Linked DNA regions of Drosophila melanogaster. Changing the gene in region 2 together with the main gene of any one other region gives a genetic interaction. Each region holds a gene or a part of one and is shown on either strand. Other genes may lie near its edges.

What was found. A genetic interaction does not mean that the proteins touch.
Region 1: of Rab4 (region 2) and mop, changing one suppresses a phenotype caused by changing the other (phenotypic suppression), as found in Drosophila melanogaster (one study listed by BioGRID).

What each region holds. Positions count from the first base shown.
Region 1 is NT_037436.4:14,770,130-14,778,078, reverse strand, and holds the start of mop (myopic), read left to right. Parts: upstream 1-1,949; 5' UTR 1,950-2,083; coding exon 2,084-2,167; intron 2,168-2,571; coding exon 2,572-3,321; intron 3,322-3,387; coding exon 3,388-6,330; intron 6,331-6,396; coding exon 6,397-7,389; intron 7,390-7,453; coding exon 7,454-7,582; intron 7,583-7,642; coding exon 7,643-7,824; intron 7,825-7,879; coding exon 7,880-7,949. Other genes in the region: bmm (brummer), read left to right, coding at 38-146, 313-401, 472-740, 1,094-1,278.
Region 2 is NT_033778.4:17,571,400-17,575,528, reverse strand, and holds Rab4 (Rab4), read right to left. Parts: upstream 2,068-4,129; 5' UTR 1,831-2,067; coding exon 1,815-1,830; intron 1,746-1,814; coding exon 1,665-1,745; intron 1,595-1,664; coding exon 1,262-1,594; intron 1,199-1,261; coding exon 987-1,198; 3' UTR 550-986; downstream 1-549. Other genes in the region: Dcr-2 (Dicer-2), read left to right, coding at 1-134; CG42239 (uncharacterized protein), read right to left, coding at 2,328-2,426, 2,496-2,606; UQCR-6.4 (Ubiquinol-cytochrome c reductase 6.4 kDa subunit), read left to right, coding at 2,825-2,877, 3,006-3,126; POSH (plenty of SH3s), read right to left, coding at 3,527-3,701, 3,763-4,056, 4,116-4,129.

The DNA.
Region 1 (7,949 bases), on a different chromosome or scaffold from region 2:
CATATTTAACTATCATTTCTATTTGATCTATATTTAGAATATCAGCACTGACGCCCAAACTTACCAAGCAGGCCAGAGTAATGGTGGAGGACTTAATTTTGCAGTTGAACCACGCCATGCGGATACGACTGCTAAATAAATTCACGGTAAGTTAATTAGGTACCTGTCTTGTGATCATTTGCTTAAGTAATCAATTGAAGTGCATTAAGGCTGTCGCTCACATTTTCATAAATTTGTTTTATTTAGAATTGACGGCTGGCAATGAATTTGAATATGAAATGAATTATACTAACGAATGTGTTTTTATTGCAGCTCTATGACCAGCCTCACTTCGATGCCACAGGACTTCTTCATTCCAGCCGCTTATATGGACCCCGTGTTTCAATCCTTGTGGATGAATGGTAAGTTAAGCAGTAGGATTAATCCTCCAAGGAAGCGTTTAACTAATCGTGCCGTTCTTTTGGTTTTCAGTGGAGCCACACCGCTAGAGGACGATGTCGACAACTTTGAGCATGTCCTCAAGATGACCACGCACAACGACGCTCTATATGCCTATTACTATACTGACAGCAACACGAACAAGGTGAAAGTAACCGAGATCTTTGACTTTGACGAAATAACGGAGCACGACAAGCTGGCCACCGATCTGCAGATCTACGAAGGCTCTGTCGAAGATCACCCCAATCCCCACCAGCACAGCCACAATACGGTGGTCAGCGAATGGAATGGCGTCGAATCAGGTTGGTATTTGTGAAACGACCGCACTTTCAATTCAAAAATCACATCATTACGTAGAGAAATCGTATCATTTGAATCAACACCAAACATTTTTTGCAGTACAAGTAATGCCCACGACTCCTGAACTACACGACGTAGCCTTTTAAAGCACTTACAAACTAAACGACTATAAATGCACCTCCATAACCCTTCACCCACTCAAGCATTAAGTCCAAATTTTAAATCGTTGGCGCAGGTAAATGATCTAAATTTGCAATCACTCCCCCGTATATTCCCATAACAAAATTTCATTTTATATAGTTCGCTCTTATGAATGGTTAAACTAAACTCTGTCTTACTTTCTCATGCTCCACAGACTTCTTCATCGATGCGCATACACCAAATGTGGAGGATAGTAAAACATCAGCGCCACAATTCTCCCGCCTGGACCTGGAGACCGAGTCGGATGCTAGTGTGCTAAGTGATCCCGAGGTTGATCAGACTTTTAGCTCCACGGCCTCCACGCACAGCAGCGACATGTATATAGAAATTGAGGGGTAATTAGTAATGGGGAGGGGGCAATCCTCTTAGGAACTGTATCGAAACATCTCCAAAGCGGCTCGTAGCAAAGCGAAAAGCCTAGTAGCGTTTCCATTAGTCTAAATTAGTCTTAGTACGACCAACGTATGTACCTAACTTAACTTAGCCGTATGCTGCCATTGTATCATCGTCAGTTTGTAAGCGGCAATTAGCTAATAATTGCATTCTTGTTATTAGTCACCCTCACACGACTTGTATTACATCCAAATCCCCATCTGTGTTTAGCCTAAGTTGATAATGTATAAACAATAAAAAAAATAAACAACAAATATTTACAGAATGTCTGGTTGCGCATTTACTATTAATAAAATAACTAATTGTGATTAATGGGGAATTCAAGGAAGGAAAAAAAAAAACAAACAAAAATATGGTGCGCTTCGTCACTATGTAAACTGTCGTTCACAGTGATATATATGCAGTGCACTTCTTTCATCCATCTATAACAATTTATATAAATTGTTAGACATTCGCATTCGTAATATCAAATTTTTTAAATTTCATTTTCTTTATAAAATTTAATCGGCATAAAAATTTAATACTTCTGGAAAAGAATACCGTTCTAAAAAGTATCGATGCCAATGAATGGAATACCCCCTACGCACCTGCCATTTTTAGTGCATATTTCCAGAAAGCTGAAACGGCCACACTGCAACATTTTTCATAAAACAATCTTGTTTTGATATTGGTAAATTAATTGCCAGCAATTAGTTTAAATTGTGTGTAAAATAAAAGGCCAACTGGGCAGGCAACAAGTAAACTAATCACCATGGAGGCGGTGCCCCGTTTGCATATGCTCTGGTTCGCCCTAAAATCGAGTCCCGAGGGAACCTCCTTTGCGGCTTTGAAAAAGGTAAAAGGAAGAGAGTGCGAAAGGGGGAGTGAAATAATTAAGAGAGCCAGCAAAACAAAGAGGAGACAACTTGGTGAAACGGAATTATCGGTCAAATTGGGAAAATGCGTTGCTTATTGGATTCATATTGGAATCGAAATTCCCATTCTCACCATGCCATTTGCTCCATTGCATTTTCCGTTTTCACCAACTTTTAAGCCCCCTTTGTCTGGCGGCTGAGTCATCGTCGTCATCTGATTAAATTGGCAAACAAATAAAAAGTTATAAGCAAACACTGGCAGTTTGTTGGGTTATTGCACTTAATTCCCCATGAAAACCCATTTACCCTAAAATATATTCTTGTTTTCCTACACTAAACTCCATAACAAAAATCCAACTTAAAACATTTCACGTTTTACTTCCAGTACATCGCGGAATTTTATCATGAAGATCCAGAGGCTTACTCCAAAGAGGTCCATGCCCTGGAGACTTTGCGCAACCAGGCCATGCACACCACGAAAGATGGAGCGCCGGTGATGAAACGCTACTATTGCCAGCTACACGCCCTTCAGAATCGATTTCCACAGCTGGCGGATCGCGGAATCTTCACCTTTAAATGGAAGGATCTCTATCACAGTGCCGTTCACGAGGTCACTGATCTGCGATTCGAACGGGCTGCGGTGCTGTTCAACATTGCCGCATTGCACACTCAGTCCGGAGCGTCGGTGACCCGTGGCGATGTGGATGGAATGAAGATGGCCTGCACTCACTTCCAGGCGGCTGCTTGGGCCTATGGAGAGCTGAGAGAACGCTATGCCAATGTCAATGGCGGAGGGGATTTTATGACCCCAGAGCTGCTGGTCTTTCAGCAACAGGTGTGCTTTGCCCAAGCTCAGGAATGCATACTCGAGAAGTCGCTAATCGACAATAGGAAACCGCATATTGTGGCCAAAGTGACGGCGCAGATTGTGGTTTACTATGGAGCTGCACTGGCTGCTCTTCTTACGGGAGGAGATGATGGTCCAGTGGCTCAAGTCATCGATAGTTCTGTGTACAAACTGTGGAAGAAGTACGTTCGCTTCAAGATCAACTATCTCACCTGCATATTGTACCTATACCAGGGCCAACATTCCGAGGAGAAGCGTCAGATGGGCGAAAGGGTGACGCTCTACCAGGTAACTATAACATTTTGAGCTCTATTTAAAGGAAAGGTTTAAATGCTTACTTTATATTCCTTTCAGGCTTCCTGGGACAAACTGGAGGAGGCGCGCAAAGAGTCCAAGGGCCTTCCTGACCAGCGGGAAATCAATGAATCCCTCAGCTTCACCGCTGATGTGGTGGAAGCAAAGCGCAAAAATGCCAAAAACGAAAATGAGTTCATTTACCATGAGGCGGTGCCCGAATTGTCCACCATTGCAGCCGTCCAAGGTGCCAATTTGGTCAATGGGATTGGCTTTCAAGTAAGCGACGAGGAGCACGCGGGTCCAGACATCTTTGCCAGATTAGTGCCCATGAAGGCCCACGAAGCCAGCTCGTTGTACAGCGAAGAGAAAGCCAAACTTTTGCGTAAGTACGGAGCTCTGCTGGAGGAGAAGGACACCCAACTGGAGTCGTACATGAGCTCCCTCACCCTGGATAATCTGAATATCAACGAGGAGCAAGCCAATAAGTTGCCCCAGGGCATCGTGGATCGCTGTGCCGCCTTAAATGCAAACAAGACTGCTATCAGCGATCTTGTAGAGGCCATGTCTCAGCTGGCTGAGATTACAGCCGATGTGGAGACCAACCTGGGCGAGATTTCAAGCATGCTGGAGGCAGAAGCCAAAGCGGAGCGAGAGTTCCAATCCGCCACCGGCGTTCAACGAACACCAAATGCCCACATTACCGAGTTATCGCGAGAGTTCCAGAAATACAGTGAAGCCCATGCACGGGCAGGGGAATCCAATAATACCTTGCGGAAAGCCATGAGCCTGCACGTAAATAATCTAAAGATCCTGGCCAGACCATTGCCTGAGATTCAGCAACTGATGCCCAAACTAAGTTCGGAACTGAATACCACCGAAATTTTCAGGGATGTGAAGCTCATCCTCAACAAAGTCAACGAAATGAAGGCGCAACGTGCTCAGTTTCATGCGGATTTGAGGATAGCCATCAATGAGGATGATATCACTGGCAAAGTAATTGCCCACGGTGGACAGGAGGGCCTCCAAGCTTTATTTGCAACCGAGCTGGGCAAGCACGACAAGATCACCGAACTTCTCGATCAGAATATGGTGGCTCAAGGTAATATTCTGCAAGCTCTAACTGAAAACTATGCCAAGGCGGCACCAGTTTTGAAAACGCTCCAGGACGTGAAGCAGAAACGGGAGCACTTTTACAGCTCGCTAGCTGCATCCTATGATGTTTATGAGGATCTGCTGGCCAAATCCGCCAAGGGCTTGGAATTCTACAAGAAACTAGCCGGAAATGTACAGAAGCTACTTACCAGATTTCGATCCGCCAGGGATGTACAGTCCGAAGAGCGCCAGCAAAGGATGCAGAGCGTTAAGGCCGCAACAACTCCAGTTGTCAGCAAACCAATAGCGGAAACTACGCCTGTGCCAGCGGTGAGCAGCACCCCCAAATTAAGGGATTACCTCAAGGCCAAGGCAGCGATGGCGGATGCCTCGAATCCCGCCTATGTGCCTACAGTGCGTCCAGTGCCGGTGGGCTCGGAGAATCCCACGCAGGCCGCTTGTTCCTATGCCACTGCACCACCGAATGAGCCACCTCCACCCTATAGTCTCACACAGCAGCAGTATTTTGATCCCAGTGCCGCCGGCTACACGAATCCCATGTATCAGCAGCAACAGCAGCACATTGCTCCACCGGCCTACAAGGCCCAAGCATCGCCAAACTCTCAGACCCTCCACGGAGCGCTCGGTCAGATGAATTTGCAGGGCCAGTCGCAGGATAACAACCAAGCAGGCATGGCTTATAATTACGGGTATCCAAGTGGGTCTGTTCCTCCTCTAGCTTACGCTCCACCCGGAACAGTGCCCGCAAGCTCAGCTTCCCAGGGATTGAATATCCAGCAGCCTCTGTATGTGGCTACATCGGGCAATCCAGTTTCGGTTTCAAATCCCAGTGAGCTGCCGTCCACCCTGCAGGCACCCTTCGTGGTCAATCCAATGTCCAATCCCTACCAAACAGCGGCAGGTTATTCAGGGCAGGCTTACCAACAGGTCAATGCTCAAGCTCAACAGGTGACTTATCCTACAGCACCATCGGGCTCTTCAACAGGACAATCAGCTCAACAGCCCTTGGGTTATGCGCCAAGTCAGGGGCCACAGCAGCAAGCTGGTGGATATCCACAATCTCAGACACCGCAGCAACAGGTGGGAGCTTATCAACAGCAGCCATTATCAGGCTATGCCCAACAGCTGACGCCTCAGCAACAAACTGGATATTCACAGTCGCAAGCACCGCAGCTCCAAGCGCCCAGCTATGCCCAAAATCAGCAATCGACTGGACAAGCACAGCAGCAACAGACTGGATATCCACAGACACCTCAACAACATCTAGCTGGGTATGCTCAGTCCCAGCAACAGGCTACAGGATATCCACAATCGCAGACATCGCAGCAGCAGACCACCGGGTATTCCCAGTCCCAGACGCCTCAACAACCACTGGCATATCAGCAGCAACCATCTGGTTATCCACAACAACAACAACAGCAGTCACTTGCTCCGCAACAGCCATCACTTTATCCATCGCAGGCTGTCCAGGCGTCGCCACAACCTATTCCTGGCCAGCAGGCAACACCTCCGAATGCTGGGCAACCTTTGCCATATCCACAGCAGTACACTGATCCCAATGCAGCTCCAGCTCCAGCTCCTGGGGTTTCTTCTGTACCAAGTCCTGTTCCAGTACCGACTCCAGCCCCCACTTCATCTCAAGCTCAGGTTCCCACATCTCCGCATCCTTCGGCCACCTACACCAGCTATTCCAACCATCCTGGCTATAGCTTTAATCCGCAGACAGGTAAATACGAGTACAGCAGTGGCTATCAGCAGGATACCAGTTCGTTGAAGGGATCCCAAGCCTCGCAAAGCTACCAGTTTAGCCAGAGTGGCAAGCAGCAGTCGGTGGGAACAACGGACTCAGAGATTGCCAGTCGCAGCAATACCGCCACTGGATTCGATGTAAGTGCTATGCCCATATATATTAAAGGTATTGAGACCTAAAATAACGAAATTTTTATCCAACAGTCACCTATCGTGTCCCACACCAAGGTTAATATGGCAGCTAAGGACTCCACTTCTGCGATAGAGGGCAATGAGTCATCCAACTACTACTCCACTCCCTATGGATACCTTGGCAGTGTAAATCCGCAGCAACAACCCACTCCTGCGCCTCCTTCGAATTCAACTGCTTCAATTTATATGCAAAGTGGAGCGAGCAGCACTGCTGAAACCCAGACGACTTCCAGCGGAGTTCCTTACGCCTCCTCCGCGGCTTTGACCAAAGTAGAACCAAAGCCGGAGGCATTGCCTCCCAAGGTTACCAGCAATGTGGATCTGCTTAGCGACCTGGACATTGACTGCTCCGTTGCTGTTCCGCCGCCAATGTTGCCGCAGCCTGTTTTGCAGCCCCAGGTGGTGGCCACTCCTACGCCGCCGGCAAGTCAGGTATCGGTGCCTGTTAAGGTAGAAAGTGTGGCAGAGCACGCTGCTCCCGCAACAGCGGAAATTCCTGTAGCAGCCACCGAGGGAACTGCTCAAACTCCAGTTACCATTCCTTCGGGTCCGAAGTGTGCCAGTTTAGATAACCTATCCAACTGTTCCGACCTAAGTTCCCTGGAGAACTTTGACTGGGACTCGGTATCCGTTACACATTCCGTCAGTGAGAAACAGACCAAGGCATCTGCCACAGCCAATGGCCATTCGAGCAGTTTTGCATTCCAATCCGAAACTTTTACGGACGAAAAAACGACAAAATATTTCCAAAAGGAGGTGGAGAGCTATGAAAAATTACTAGAGAATTTGCACGTGAAAATGTTGAATGGAAAAACACAACTGGGCGCCAAATGGCAAGAGCTGCAGCAAAAGTTGGATAAAGAAGCCGCTGCCAACAAGCGATCCACCACCATTGCGAAATTGTTCCCGGAGAAAAATCGATCCCTTGATTGTCTGCCATACGATCATGCCAGAGTAAAGCTGGACAAGCAGACCGATGACTACATCAATGCCGCCTACATGAAGGTGAGTTATTCCAGAAAATGTTTTTATAGCACACAATCTTTAAACGCCGTTGTTATTCATTTAGAACTTGAGTGCCGGCTGTCCCAACTTTATTGTCGCTCAGACTCCCCAGCCAAATACCATCAACGATTTCTGGTCCATGATCTGGTCGGAGAAGTCGCGCACTGTGGTTTGCCTGCACACCCCAAATGAAGTGAGTAACTTCAGCAAAACTATGAGATTATTGAATCTAAATATTTGATATGTTCTATAGCTTTTCGATCCCTACTGGCCGCAAGCTTTGGACCAGCCGACTCATTATGATGATTACACCGTGACCTGCTTAAAAGTGCAGCAACTTAGCCACTGCTCCGAGTATCAACTTAAATTGTCCATGCATGGAGCGGACGCAGTGCTGGATTTATCTCTACTGCAGCTGAAACAGTGGACCAAGGGGTAACATGTCCAGATTTCGTCCGATGGAAAGAAATAAATAATTGCTATTTTACAGGGCTCCAGCTCAACTTCTGGGTGTGGCGGAAAATGCTTTGGAGACCCATCGACAACGCTGCAAGGCAGCC
Region 2 (4,129 bases):
CTGTAATGGTTAGTTGTCAATTTACCTGCATGGAAAAGACGATCAAGGTGTACGGATTTGGGAGCAATAAGGACCAGGCCAAGCTATCGGCTGCCAAGCACGCCCTTCAGCAGCTAAGCAAATGCGACGCCTAATATGATGATTCCAGCCCAGTCTAGTTTCTGCTAAACTGCATTGAATTTGCTTTCTAGCCAAGACGTAATCCTTTGGAAGAGGACAGCAAAGGGCACCTAATGAACTTAACTGTATATCTTAGAATTAAAAAATACTTTTCCATCGCTTTAATAGACATAAATGTCTAAAACCAAAAAATCATTTTTGATCACCATAAATTGTTAAGACCTTTTAAATCAAAACAAAAACAGCCCATTTGGAAACACAATCTAAAGATGCTATGCCAATTTCCTCAAATACAAACGGTTTTTAATTATTTTTTTATCAATTATTGCCATTTAAAATGTTTTAGCTTCATTGTTATTAATAAAATTTAATAGCTTCCCCAATACAATATTTGTTACCTTGGGTCGAAATAAATATTTTTATACAATTGAATTTATCAATGGGCGTTTTTATTTACCGCGTGCATGCTTCAATGGGATTTACAATCGGCGACGTCGTCAACGGCGTATCGCTACTTATTTACATTAAAAATGCCGAGTGTATTCTGTTCATCCTCTAGATCAGATCCATGTGCTTATAGCCATACATCATTTGTTGCTCGAGGGCTCTAGTGCTTCACGAATTACAAATTATAGTAAGTAACATTTGGGGTTAACCCGAAATCATAGGTTTTCAAAGTGGTAATTGGTTATGTTAAAAAACAAATCGATTAGCATTATGCTTACAATTGGAATGATTAATCTAGCAAGACAAAATACATACTAAAAAAGTGGACACACACAAGTACACAATACAACTAAGGGGTAATCCGAATGCGCATTCCGGTTTGAGATTAAATGGAAATAAATCAGCACAACTTATGCGACTTAAACGCGACAGGTGCAATCCGGCTTATTGATGCTGCGCTGTCGTGTCTGTAAGTTACGGAGAGCAGCTCCGCCGTACTGAATACCGCTGCCGATGCGCTCGGGATCCAGCTCTCCGGTCTCAATTTTGGCCAGTATGGTCTTTGAGCACTTGAGAAAGGCCTCTTCAACATTCTCCCCCGTCTTGGCGCTCGTCTCCAGGAAGATAAGCTCTGCAACGACAAACAGACGTAGAATTACGATAGGAAATTTATGGAGAATCCTAAAAAACAGACCGTTCTCTTGGGCAAAGGTGCTTGCTTCCAGAAAGGTCACATCACGCGCCTCCTCCAAGTCCTTTTTATTGCCCACCAAAAGGATCACAATATTTGGGCTGGCCAGAGTGCGAGCATCATTCAGCCAGTTTGTCAAAGCATTGAAAGAGTCCCGCGAAGTGGCATCGTAGACCAGGAGAGCTCCGGCTGCTCCGCGATAGTACGATCTTGTCACCGATCGGAATCTCTCCTGACCGGCTGTGTCCCATATCTGTAGCTTTACCGACTTGCCGCCCACGTTCACAATCCGCGAGCCGAACTCCACTCCGATGGTGTGCGAACTGTCGTCTTTGACTTTGATGGTACATCAAAATGTATAAAATGCATTAGGCGTGTACCATTTTCAGGCTACCACCAAACTTACACTTGCTCTCGATGAAGTGATGCAACAGACAACTCTTACCGCTGCCAGCACTGCCAATTATCAGGAACTTGAACAGGTAATCTAGGTGAGCGCCGAGCACCGATATTAATTAGTAAAATGCATTAATTAATTAAATGTGTGCTGACAAACCGTATGTTTCCGACATTGTTTTTGTTCGTCTTCTGCGTAGTTGTCTTCTTTGTTTGTTTTGGTTTTTCGGCCAGACTTCAGGACTATCGGATTGCTGGTGCGTATGGGCACCAGGAAGTGCGCAGGACACGATCAAAACCCGCAATATCCGTCGATAAGTAAGCGTTTAAACAATTAGAAAGCCAAAAATTACCTTAAAATCTTTGACTGGACTCACTTCAGTGAGAAGGTTCGCTACAAACGCGAAAATACCAACAAGGGGTGGGTGTGACCAGGTGGTTCAAAATATGATTCATATTGCAATTAAGTTTTTGTTTACTTTTAAAATATTTCCAAATATATGAAAATTGCCGAAAGCTACAAAGAAAAAACAAAATATGAAATGCAGCCCACAAAGGTTTATTGTCTTTTTTCAAAAACCCTCTTCTATTCATCACACAATTTGCATACATACATATATGCAATAAAAGTATAAAAGATGGTGGGCCCTGGTAATCCAACCCGGCACATAGTCTACGTATCCTTTTGCTTCTCTGGTTCGTAGTCTTGATAGCAATTAATGGGATCCTTGGCCGTATAAACTGAGTATGCCAATTTGCTGCCCTTGAAGTTCTGTAAACTCAGGGCAGAAAGGGAAAATTACTTAAAATTAACCATTCTGATAAGCACTATCTGCCGTACCTTCATATCGCCAGATATCAGAGTCCAAAGGAAAACGAACACCGCCGGTATCACAGTGGACAGGACAAACAGCTCGAATGTGTTAAGCTCCCCAAAAACGGATATTTTCATTTTAATTTCGTAATTTTTGATGAGTTCTTTGCGAATATTAGTTTTTGTTGATGACTAGTTGTTGTTCTCACGTAGGCCGCACAGTGTTGTCACACCTTGCTTTTAAAGTTTTACGCTATCCTACGGTCACACTGTAGTGGTATTATTTAGGACATTTGAAACTATTGCGTTCATTGCGAACATTTTGGTGCGTGTGAAAAGTTATTAAATCAACAAAAATGGCTTTCCGCATACCTTTTGGCAAGAAGCACGCTGAGATAGCGAGTTCCTTGTAAGTATATGCTGTCGTGCTTGATTCTGCATCATGAATTCATTAGTGTTCCCGCTCTTTTACTGCTACCAAAGCACACATTGCATAACCCCATCCAGAGAACTAAACTAGTTTCTTTTAATTCGTAGCATCCGATCTGGAGCCGGATTCGGAGGAGCTGCTGGCCTGGCCGTGCTTTACTACACCGACTGGAAGCTGGTCCTACAGTACGTGCCCATCTACGGATCCAAGTTCGAAAAAAGCGAGTAACCTTGCCTGCCGTAGTTGAATCCACAGTTAGCCTCGATGTTTTGCTTGGTGAATAAAATAAGTTAAAACGACCAAAGGGTATTACTGAGTATCGTATATTACAAATAACTTTGTAGAGGGCACAAGGATCGGTTAGATTATTTCTCTAGCTAACTAATCGCTAAGGCTTAAGTAACTGTTCCCTAAGTCTTACATGGCTAGCCTATTTTGATCAAGCATTGTATAAAAAAGTACAACGGCGAGCTGCCCATTCGATTGGAAGAGTACAAAACGGTTTCTTTTTTGAAAAGAGAAATATGAGATTGCGTATTTGGAAGCCCGAATAGACCGACGATTGAATCCTTTTAGACAAGTAATTTGGAATTTCGCTTAATAAATTCTAGTTTGAACCATAACTTTCCTAACAATCCGGTTCAACAAAGGAGGCGGGGAACAGCCCGGTTTTGTGGGTACGGGCATGGGTGCCCTTATACCAGCCGTTCTTCTGCTTCCGCTGGACGTAGATAATGTCGCCCAAATGTAGCTCTAGTTCAATGTCACTGTTTGGTGGATACGGCACAATGCAGCGGAATCGACTACGATAAAAGGTTGCATTAGTAAATCTCTAAGCTCACAATAATGTATTGCAAAACCCACCTTTCCCTCGTGCAGTAAGGAGACTTAGTGGTGGCGCTGGCCTTAATGGCCGCCTCCGTGATCATATTGCTGCTGGGACTCAGCACATGACTCGCATCTAGGCTGTGCGACTTCCGATGGCTGGGTGCAATAATCATATTGGCATGCAACTGGGATTGCGCTCCACCTCCAGGAATCACCTGTTGCTGACCGCCGGCGTAGACAGCTGGGGCCACGGAAGTAGTAGGTGGCGGCGGCGACGCGGCATTGTTGTACATACTGCGAAATGTAGCTGCATCTAATGATTGTCTCGCGCTGAATCAAAATCCAAGAGTCAGTTAAAAGTTAAAGCATTCAAATTAAGCCTAACGAACCAAATCAAGTGAGG